Caenorhabditis elegans: one gene and its partners. The protein of the gene in region 3 interacts with the protein of the main gene of each other region in a pairwise test. Each region holds a gene or a part of one and is shown on either strand. Other genes may lie near its edges. The genes, in order: glh-1, lim-9 and zyx-1.

Region 1 (3,754 bases), on a different chromosome or scaffold from region 3:
ATTTTATGATTTTCATTATTTTCAGTGGTATTCATATTGTTGTTGCGACACCAGGACGACTATCTGATATGCTTACCAAGAAAATTATAAATTTAGAAGTAAGACATAACTTCAAAGATTTCAAAAATTGCTTCAATTTATTACAGGTTTGCCGTTACTTAGTTCTAGATGAAGCTGATCGAATGCTTGATATGGGATTTGAAGATGAAATTAAATCAATTTTCTATTTCTTCAAAGCTCAACGGCAAACTCTCCTTTTCTCGGCTACGATGCCACGAAAGATTCAATTTTTCGCAAAATCAGCACTGGTCAAACCTATTGTAAGTTTTATTTATGCAATCGAGAAGTTTCAAAAATATAATTTTTTAACCTACTCCCAAAAGTTGTCATTCTTCAATTCTTAAAGAATAATTTTTCAGGAGTTTGTCTGTAAATTATAAATATTTTAGGTCGTAAATGTTGGACGTGCGGGTGCTGCTTCATTGAACGTACTCCAGGAGCTTGAGTTTGTTCGATCAGAAAACAAATTGGTTCGTGTACTTGAATGCCTTCAAAAGACTTCTCCCAAGTAAGATTTTATTTATCAGAAAATAATTAATTTAGAAATATGGCAACGGTTTTATATTTCAGAGTTTTGATTTTTGCCGAAAAGAAAGTTGACGTTGACAATATCTACGAGTACTTGCTTGTAAAAGGAGTTGAAGTTGCTTCAATTCACGGAGGAAAAGATCAAAGTGACCGTCATGCTGGAATTGAGGCATTCCGAAAAAATGAGAAAGATGTACTTGTGGCAACAGATGTTGCATCAAAAGGACTCGATTTCCAAGGAATTGAACATGTTATCAATTTTGACATGCCTGAAGATATTGAGAACTATGGTGAATTTCTTATTTATTTTTCATAATTGAATTTTTATTTTCAGTTCATCGAATTGGTCGTACCGGACGTTCCGGACGGAAAGGTCTCGCAACGACATTTATCAACAAAAAATCGGAGATGTCAGTGCTTTCCGACTTGAAACAATTACTCGCAGAAGCAGGGCAGGAACTTCCAGAATTTCTCAAAATGTTGGCTGGTGACGAGGAGGGAACTGCTCCAGCTGGCACAAATGCGGAAAAGGTAGTTAGAAAACATTTAGAAAATCGGGAAGTTCAACATGTTTTCAGGGATGCGCATACTGCTCCGGTCTGGGTCATCGCATCACAGATTGTCCAAAACTCGCTGGAATCGGAAACAAAACGACGCAAGCATTGGCAAGAGGTGGAGGCGACGATGGTGGTTTCTGATTATTTTATTCATACATTGTATCTCAATCTATTTATTTACTGTTTTCTTGTTTACATTTATAAAAATATTTGTCAGAATTGTACTATTTATTTCATGTTTAAAAAAAGTCTGGATTTCCGAGAAAACATGAAAATAATTAATTGATCGAGTTCATTGAAAAAGAAAAATGAATTAAATGCATTCTCAAAATTCTTTTTTTTAAAGGAGACACCACGGTTTCAAGATCTGATGGGAGTCCGGATCTACGTTTTCCGGATCTACCATTTCCGGATCTACGTTTTCCGGATCTACGTTTTCCGGATCTGGCACCGTGCAAACTCTTAAAACGCTATTTTTTCGAAGAAAAAAGTGACAACGACGCTCCGATGTTACGCGTCGCGTGTTGTTAAGCGTTTCTTCTAGAAGAAAATTTCGAAAAAAGTCGTGCGTTGAAAAGCGTTTTGTGCGTTGGCACGGTGCCAGATCCGGAAAACGTAGATCCGGAAAACGTAGATCCGGAAAACGTAGATCCGGAAATGGTAGATCCGGAAAACGTAGATCCGGAATCCCATCAGATCTTGAAACCGTGGTGCCTCTTAAAGAGTCGATTCTTTAAAGGAACACAGACTTTCACACCGTTTAGGTTTCGCCACGCGCCCCAACTACAGTAACCTCGACACACTCATCTACTAAATTTTGGGACAGTTCCTAATTCTTTTTGCTGTTTTCAACTCAATTTTCTGGAAAAATCTTAATTTTCTGCGAAAATGTCTGATGGTTGGAGTGATAGCGAAAGTGCTGCTAAGGGTGAGTTTTATTTTGAACTTTCCACCGGTTTTATTTTGATTAAAAACTTTATTTCAGCCAAAACTGGATTCGGTAGTGGAGGCGGTTTCGGTGGTGGTAACAATGGAGGATCTGGGTTTGGTGGTGGTAAAAATGGAGGTACTGGATTCGGTGGAGGAAACACTGGCGGATCTGGATTCGGTGGAGGAAACACTGGCGGATCTGGATTCGGTGGAGGAAAGACTGGCGGTTCTGGATTTGGAGGTGGAAATACTTGTGGATCCGGCTTCGGTGGAGGCAGTACAGGAGGATCGCCGTATGGAGGAGCCAGTTCTGGATTCGGTGGTAGTACTGCCACATCTGGATTTGGAAGCGGTGAAAAATCAAGTGCATTTGGAGGATCAGGTGGCTTTGGAGGTAGTGCAACTGGATTCGGAAGTGGAGGAGGATCCTTTGGAGGTGGCAACTCTGGTTTTGGGGAAGGAGGACATGGCGGCGGAGAGAGAAACAATAGTTCGTTTTTTAAATTGACTTTATATAATTACGTTTGTTTCAGATTGTTTCAATTGCCAACAGCCAGGACATCGATCGAGTGACTGTCCAGAGCCGAGAAAGGAAAGAGAGCCGAGAGGTTTTATTTTGATATAACTTTATTGGCAGTAATTTGTTTTATTTTCAGTGTGCTACAATTGCCAGCAACCCGGGCACACCTCTCGTGAATGTACAGAAGAACGCAAGCCGCGTGAGGGTCGCACTGGTGGATTCGGGGGCGGAGCTGGATTTGGAAACAATGGAGGAAATGACGGTTTCGGTGGGGACGGTGGTTTTGGTGGAGGCGAAGAACGTGGTCCAATGAAATGTTTCAACTGTAAAGGCGAGGGACATCGCTCTGCTGAATGTCCGGAGCCACCCCGTGGATGTTTCAATTGTGGCGAGCAAGGTCATCGCTCGAATGAGTGCCCCAATCCAGCCAAGCCAAGGGAAGGTGTTGAAGGAGAAGGACCTAAGGCGACATACGTGCCAGTCGAAGACAACATGGAGGACGTTTTCAACATGCAGAAAATTTCGGAAGGCCTTATGTTCAACAAGTTTTTCGATGCCGAAGTTAAACTGACTTCATCCGAGAAGACTGTCGGTATCAAACCTTGCAAGACATTCGCGGAAGCTAATCTCACGGAGACCATGCAGAAAAACGTTGCTCATGCTGGATACTCCAAGACCACTCCAATTCAGCAATATGCTCTTCCACTTGTTCATCAGGGATATGATATCATGGCTTGTGCTCAAACTGGATCAGGAAAAACCGCTGCATTCCTTCTGCCTATCATGACTCGTCTCATTGACGATAATAATCTGAACACTGCCGGAGAAGGCGGTTGCTATCCCCGTTGCATCATCTTGACTCCAACTCGCGAACTCGCTGATCAAATTTACAACGAGGGAAGAAAGTTTGCTTATCAAACAATGATGGAGATCAAACCAGTTTACGGAGGATTGGCTGTCGGTTATAATAAGGGTCAGATCGAAAAGGGAGCCACGATCATTGTCGGAACTGTCGGAAGAATCAAGCACTTCTGTGAAGAGGGTACCATCAAGCTTGACAAATGCCGCTTCTTTGTTCTTGACGAGGCTGATCGTATGATCGATGCTATGGGATTCGGAACTGACATCGAAACTATTGTCAATTATGACAGTATGCCGA
Region 2 (3,754 bases), on a different chromosome or scaffold from region 3:
AAGACGAGCAAATTGGTATAGAAGAAATGGAGGATAAATCAGTCGAGGCAAAGTGAGAACTCTTTTTTTTTTAAATATATTTAAAAAAATTGATTTTCAGGCTAAAGAAATGCGCTCTTCATGGACTCACAAATGATAACCTTCACGTCGTTCATGTTGCTGCAACTGTCATCGGTATGTCGCAAATGAAAATTACGAAGAAGCTGCTTTTTGATCTGAAAGTCATAGAAACCAAAAGTTTATGAATATGCCGCCATGGATGATTTTCTTCGTCAATTGCAAAACCATACAACACATAGAAATGTTCATATTTTGCAGACCGAGTCACCGATCTTGTTCCATCACTTTTGGAAAAGCTTGTCGTCGAACTGAATGGCATCAAGTCGATCACTGATGTTTTGATTGTGGCGGATCGAGGATTCTCTTATACGAGCATTCTTCATCCATTATTGAATGTTCTCGAAAAATTATTCACGAAGATTCCCGAAGAAGTCACCAATTCGCATATTCTCCCTCACTTGAAGATTTTGTCGCCTCGCTTGATGCTACTGATGCTGAAGCACTCGGAAGTCAAGGAATTGTTTATTCCTATCATTAACACCTTGACTTCAATTGCTAGAAGATTCCCAGACAAAAAGCAATCGAGTTTTTCTTCATCAAGCTACTCAATCAAGCAGTCGCTCAAAAAAGTCAAGGATCAGGAGTGTCGGAATAAATTGGTCAGATTGGAAAGCATATGCGAAGATATGCTCTAAATTAGTCTCTGTTAAATATTAAATTCATCCCACCGTTTTGTGTATCATATCGTGAAAAAATACACACGGTTTAATTATTTTTATGTGAATATTTACCAATAAGATCAGTCAACCTGATGCTTATTTGGATTTTTTGGTATTTCATATTTGTTTCTTAAAGTCTGTTGTGAAGTAAAAACTTGATTTTAAATACTACCGTTTTTTTTAGAGTATGATGAATTTAGCTACTTTTAGAAATTCAAGAAGTCTGCTATTTTTCTCTGTTCCCTCTTTAAAATTTTTGAGTTTTGCACTTGTTGCGTAGCAGATGGCTCATCCGATTTGCAAATAGTTACTCGTCTTACTCTCCGTTCGCATTACACAGTAACCCTCCGACCATCTTTTTCTGCTCTTTTTTGTACTTTGTCACGTCATTCGGCTCCTGCTCCGCCTACTCAAAATTTTTATGGTTTTTTTCGAAAGTTTGAGAGAAGTAGTACTCGTTTTTCCGAATTTTTAAAATATTGTTCATTAGTTTTTATTAATTCCAGCTATATGCAGTGCCGGCCAAAAGTTGGTGATTTTTCAACAACAAAAAAAAATCAAAAGTAGCTACTTAAGTAGTAATTTTAAAAAACTTACCAGACAGGATTTTCATTATAACTTTGTCTAGATTTTGCTTTCCTCTGGAAAAAAAGTTGAAGCGGCTGACATCTACAGGAATAGATTTGTATATGTTCTCTTGCAACACATGTTTTTGAATTCTAAAGGCGCGTATGGGTCTCGCCACGTGGGAAACGAGTTTCTGTAACTCATGTCGGTTTACGGGTCACTAAAAGTTGTATCATCATTTTCAAAAATAGAAATTACTGACAAGATTTATTTAGAAAAAATAATTGTGCAATAGCGGCCCGTACATTAATACGAGTTACAGTAACCCGTTGTTCGAATGGCGAGACCATTGCACGTCTACGTAATAACAATTTGGCAGCAATTTAGACAATATTATCAATGTTTTGTCTTTACACAGTTTTTTAATTATTAGTTTTTGAGGTATTGTTTGGTTGAAAAATCACGAGAATAAGTCAAAGACGCATATAATTTGGCCGATATTGTGCTCGCATTTTCCCGATTTTCGTATTCAAGAAAATGGTCAGAAGATCATTTGGAATAGAAGTAGAAAATCTTCAAAATTTTTCTTTTTCTTTTATTTTATTCTATACAAATAGACACTTGAACTAATATAATAAGTACTTAACAGAAGTAGAACTCTTTTCAACTTGGCCCCCTCTCTGTAATATGTCTGACAATGTTGGTCCAAGAGAATTGTCAAATGCATTCAAATATCTTCTTGCCTATCAATTAGATTCGTAAGTTTTTTTTTCACAAAATGGAAAATTGATAGTTATGGATAGATCTCTGAAAAAAAACATCTTAAAATAGTAGATAATACTTTCCACCCAATTTTTTTGAATTCATAAACTTATAAAGGCATATTAGTAGCTTTTGTAAAATGTGTTCGAGAAGTTATTTATTCAATAAAAATGTGTAAAAAACGGTAAACCATTTAGATACCAAAAAAACCAGATCTTGCCATTTTTCTTCTAAAAGACACGACAAAAATTAGGTATTGTCAAGTGTGGGTTACTGTATCTGGATGTTTCTCTCTCTCGGGTATGACCTTTTGTCCAATCATGGAAAGTTCACCAAACTTATTCTGGAGTTATGCATAATTTATTTGTAATATTAAAACTTCAGGAGAGTCATGGTAATAAACTTAAAGTAGAAGAGTTCAAAATTCTCTTCAAAAAAAGTGTTTAGAAACCAGTAAGAACCCTTTCAAACTCTACATTTCTTCCTTCTAAACCCCGCTGTAATCCTTCTGTGATCAATTTTTCAAAATGACTACAAGTGACATAACTGCCAGTTTTAAGGCACACTTTTCTGCAATCTTCCGGAAGAAGATGTTCGAGACTTATTTGTTCTTTCAAATCGACTGGCCAATATCATTTATACAATTTAATGTGGAACGTCGCCTATAAGAAAATTGTTTGAAACCAATTAATTCGTTGCTAAAATGTAAAAAGCTTTGAAAGATATTTTTATTTGCAGTCGAAAAGTGGAAATTTTTTTACCAATAAATTTCCGTCAAAATTTAGCGATTCACCAATACTTTGACAGAAATTTTTGAACGACCTAAAGTTTTTTGAAGCGTTTAATTATTTTTTAAAGTCATGTTGGAGTGTATTTGTAGCACATATCCCGGAGTACTTTTTGGGGTACACAATTTATATTTCTCGATATATAACTATGCAACACAAATAGAGTACCTAATCAATTGAAGATCAATTGATATATATGCCATATTCGGGAAGTGTGTGTGAATCTCTGAGTCTCTCAAATCCAAATGATATTTCTCATTTCATAATATATTTTCTCATTATCTTGTTGTCATTATCCACTATCTTCATAATCCAATCGTCTCTTCCTTCAAAAAGTGAAAATAAACATAAAATTGGCAATTTTCGATATGATCATGAAGTGACCACACCCTGGCTTTCCTTTAATAGTGACACACAATTTGAGAAATTAAATGTTTTTTGAACGAATTTCTCAAATTTCTGTTCTTGTTTTTGAACCCTCGTGATTTTCATTTTATTTATTGATTTTCAATTTCAAAACTAGTCGATTTTTTTATTGCATTGCAAAAATAATTTCTCCAATTAAAAACAAATTACCACTTGCAAATTAAATTATAATTCTGATAGAACATTTTTGGCTTTGAATTAAAAACTAGAAAATATTTTGACACTTTGAAAGTAATATTGCCTATTTCCTTTTTCAATTTCATACCTATTTTGAGAGAGCTTACGATAAGTTTTAGTCGAAAATTGAAAGTTAATTGCAAACAGCAGAAACATGTTTTAATGTTTAGCCATTCACTTTATTGGAAAATGTTTTAAATTATTTAATTTTCAGAATCGCTCAAGACGGAGTAATGCCATCTGCTCATGGAGCTC
Region 3 (3,754 bases):
AAATTTTAATTTTTCATTCACGCCCAAACTAATTGGGTTTTTCTTTATTTTTTTTCTTTATTTTATAATTTGAAACATATTTAATTTTCCAATTTTTCAGAAATTTTTCCGTAAAGAAAACTATATAATTGCAAAGAAAATTGCCAAAACTCTGAAATTGGATTAAACTTTGAAATTGGCCAAAATGGAGACTAATATAGCGGGAAAACACAAATACCGTATTTCTTCTATTAATATAGCTGCAATACTATTTTTCGATGGTCTTCCCGCTTGCAATACTAATAGGGAGTGCAAGACTATTAGGGAGTGCAATACTAATTTTCAGAACATTTTCTGACTTTGAGCTTACTAGTTTTTTCCTGAAAAAGCTCGAATCATATGTAAAAATTCTGAAAATTTGATTTTCATATAATTTCAAAAACTTCAATCTCGTAGAAATGATGTGAAAACTGTTGCAAAATAGGCAAAAATGTTGTTGAAATCCTGAAATTAGCGAGACGGGTTTGCAATACAAAAAAGTTAACGCAAGACTATTAGAGAGTGCAAGACTAATAGGGAGTGCAATACTAATTTTCGGAAGGTCTCCGAGGGGCAATACTAATAGGGAGTGCAAGTCTAATAGGGAGGCCATATTAATAGAAGATATACGGTATGTCGAAAATGACGTCACTCAGTTGCGCGGGAATTTAAATTTCATTCGGCCCTTTTTATTATTTTTGCAAAATTTTAAAAAAATCATAAAAAATTTACAAAAATTTTATAATTTTTTTTACTGTTATGTATGGTATATTGGGGATGTATTCTGTCATTTTTTTCTTTATTTTTCGAAAAAACCCTCATTTCCGCTGGATAAAAAAAATTTGCCACTACGATTATGGTTAGCAATAATTTATGGTTTTTCAAGTGATTAATGAGAATAATTAAATGCCCAGGGGTGCTAGAAGGAGCACATAAATTACCGTATGCAAATCGTTTACCTTCATATGCAAAATGTGCTTTGAATTAATAGAAAGGGTATTGTCTAGAGCGTGGGAAGTGAAATAGAATTCAGAACGACTCTAAGAGCCGGCAGTTCAGAAATAAATTAACGATAATTAAACCCATCTGCCTCCAAAAAGCCAAGATTTTAAATTTTGAAATGTCTATTTCCACGTGATGTCAGGATGTCTCATTACAGTTTGATCTACAAAAATGCGGGAATTTTTTGTTCGGAAAAATTGTGATCTACAAAAAATGCGGGAATTTTTTGTTCGGAAAAATTGTGATCTACAAAAAATGCGGGATTTTTTGTTCGGAAAAATTGTGATCTACAAAAAATGCGGGAATTTTTTGTTCGGAAAAATTGTGATCTACAAAAAATTCGGGAATTTTTTCAGAAAAATTGTGACGTCAGCAAGATCTGCGAAATCAGATGAGATGTCTGCGTCTCAACTCCCGCACTTTTTGAAGATCAAATCGAAATAAGAAATTCTGACAATCCCTGAGCTTTTGGGGGTTTTATCGAGCTACCGTAATGGATAACATACATAATTTTTAAACCTCTCTCCCACGCCATTGATTTTTTTTCAAACTTTTGGCCTAAAAAAATTTCAGAACATTTTCCAATTTTCTTTTGCAATTTCAGTTCAACTTACGGATGGGAGTAGAGGGGGTGGTGGAGGCGGAGGCGGGGGTCCCATAGATCAGTAGCGGATGCCGAGTCTGGAATAGTGCTGAAGGAGCGAGCACGACCCAAGCTGAAAGACACATATGTTGGAGGTCAGGACACAGAGCAAACAATTTAACACAACAAAAACATGAAGAAATGAAAAAAAAACGATACCTTTGACTAGGATAATGAGGAAGTGGTGAGAGGTAACTCATATTAGGATGTGCGACCTGGATGGATAGAGAATGTCTGGAGAGCGCGCCTCGGTGTGGTGTTTAGTATGTTTAGAGTCTTGGGGGCTCCGACGGACCCCGAGGAGCTGCATGCCACAGGAACCCCGGGCGAACCGCGTCGGCGTCTCTTCACATCCTTACGACTCTCTCGCTTCATCCCGGCAGGAGCCCATTTTACACTTTGGCTCACAAAATTCGACTGATGGCAGGAAAAATAGAGAGGATATGGGAGGGGGGGGGGGGAGATTACAAAAAAAGGAAAGCGAAAACGAGGGATAAGCGATGAACAAAGAGGAAAAGAGATAAGCAACAACATCTGCTATTGGAAGATGATATCAAAAATTTCGTGTGAAATCCACGTGGCAGACAGGAAATTGGTGGCTGATAATTTATAGGGGAGAGGGACCGGCAATATTTAAGTTATGGTTGGAGATTATACAAAAACCTAGAGTTCACAGCGTGGCCTAGAAAATCTAAAACTCATTATTTATATTTTAGCAATTTGATCTTAAATAGATCATTTAGAGTTCGAGGAAATTACCCTATGTGTGTTAGCGGCCGAGTTTTCTCATTTTCGCGGCCACGTATATTTTTCTCGGGTTCTAGGCCATGACTTTCGGCTCAACCTAATCGTTTTATATTTCAGATTTTTTTTTTAAATTGCTATTTGAAAGCACAGATTTAGATCAAGCACAAATTTGTGATGTGGCCTAGAAAACAGATAACTCGGCCATCAATTAAATTTTTCAAAAAGTTTTCCAGATTGAATCTATAAGGTGTCGTCTACATACAATTCGAGAAAAAAAATGTTTGTAGCGTAGCCGAGTTTTCTTATTTTTTCGGCCACGAATATTTTTGTGACGTCATATTTTCAAGTGGGCCTTGTCGGGTTCTAGGACATCACATTCGGTTTGAATTTTTTTTTTCAAATCCGAAATTTGCCTAATTTTATTCTGGAGCACTTTTTTTATACGAAAATTGAAGTTTAATCTTTCTAACCCAAAACTGTCCGTCATTTGTGGCTTGGCCTAGAAAAAAACGGGAAAACTGGGCCATCAACATATATTTTCTTTATTGCTAGAGATGATCTTAAAATAGCCTTTTACAGTTAATGAAAAGACCCCTTTTCATCCTTTTTATAATTAATTGTTTTGTGGCCGATCTTTCCCATTTTAAAGCCAATATTAACTTCGATTTATGTGATTCTAGACCATTCTAAAAAATTAAAATTTTGAGAACTTTGAAGTTTTTAACTTCAAAGAATTTTTGTATTCAAAAAAGTCTTCCAACCCCAAAAAAAACTGTCATCTTTGAAGCACAGAACGCCATGCAAACAACGATAAAACATTGGAAGAGCGGAAAGAAGAAAAAAACCGACGCGAAAAAAAGTCTGTGGTTTTATGGATGGTATAGTTGTGCCCAACCCTCTCTTCTTCTCTTTTCACAGGAATTTTATGGGCGGTTTCGTGGGCGCAATCATGATCATTCCCTAATATTTTTTTTTTTCTACAGAAAAAAAATATTTTAAGAAAAAAAACTTTTGGCTGGAATTCGTGAGAAACAAAAATTGAAACAAAAAACAGTTGGTGTACAAACATTGAAAAGAGGAGTCTATGTATTTTTCGACTTATTTTAACTGCCTGAAACTCTTCCTCTTTCTGCCTAGAATAACCGGAATTCTATGCAAGCAAACAGGGTAATAGGTGAATCACATAGAACTTTGAACTTTGTCAGGAGTTCGCAGGGGATTAGATTCTTAGGTGGCTTATGGTGTTTTTGTTTTGGAAATTTGGAAAATATGGGGTAGATGGCTGTAAAGGTAAGAAAAAAAAATGTAATTAGGATGGAAAGAAAAAATATTTATAAAAAATTT

Evidence for each region.
Region 1: the proteins of zyx-1 (region 3) and glh-1 interact in a two-hybrid assay, tested with the Caenorhabditis elegans proteins (one study listed by BioGRID).
Region 2: the proteins of zyx-1 (region 3) and lim-9 interact in a two-hybrid assay, tested with the Caenorhabditis elegans proteins (one study listed by BioGRID).

The regions. Positions count from the first base shown.
Region 1 is NC_003279.8:6,852,779-6,856,532, forward strand, and holds the start of glh-1 (ATP-dependent RNA helicase glh-1), read left to right. Parts: upstream 1-1,699; 5' UTR 1,700-2,033; coding exon 2,034-2,073; intron 2,074-2,130; coding exon 2,131-2,565; intron 2,566-2,608; coding exon 2,609-2,683; intron 2,684-2,731; coding exon 2,732-3,754. Other genes in the region: sacy-1 (RNA helicase), read left to right, coding at 26-98, 147-320, 450-568, 631-878, 923-1,119, 1,167-1,286. UniProt on the Caenorhabditis elegans protein: Probable ATP-binding RNA helicase. May act redundantly with the P-granule component glh-4 to regulate the formation of the granular structure of P-granules in embryos. Plays a role in positively regulating the localization of pgl-1 to P-granules.
Region 2 is NC_003279.8:9,219,008-9,222,761, reverse strand, and holds the start of lim-9 (Protein espinas), read left to right. Parts: upstream 1-2,033; coding exon 2,034-2,104; intron 2,105-3,713; coding exon 3,714-3,754. Other genes in the region: aspm-1 (Calponin-homology (CH) domain-containing protein), read left to right, coding at 1-52, 101-174, 319-755.
Region 3 is NC_003280.10:13,055,077-13,058,830, reverse strand, and holds the start of zyx-1 (Zyxin), read right to left. Parts: upstream 1,680-3,754; coding exon 1,635-1,679; intron 33-1,634; exon of another isoform or gene 12-32; intron 1-11. Other genes in the region: azyx-1 (Alternative N-terminal open reading frame of ZYX-1), read right to left, coding at 1,635-1,736, 1,823-1,863. UniProt on the Caenorhabditis elegans protein: Functions both as a mechanical stabilizer (via LIM domains) of focal adhesions, and as a sensor component for muscle cell damage (via N-terminus).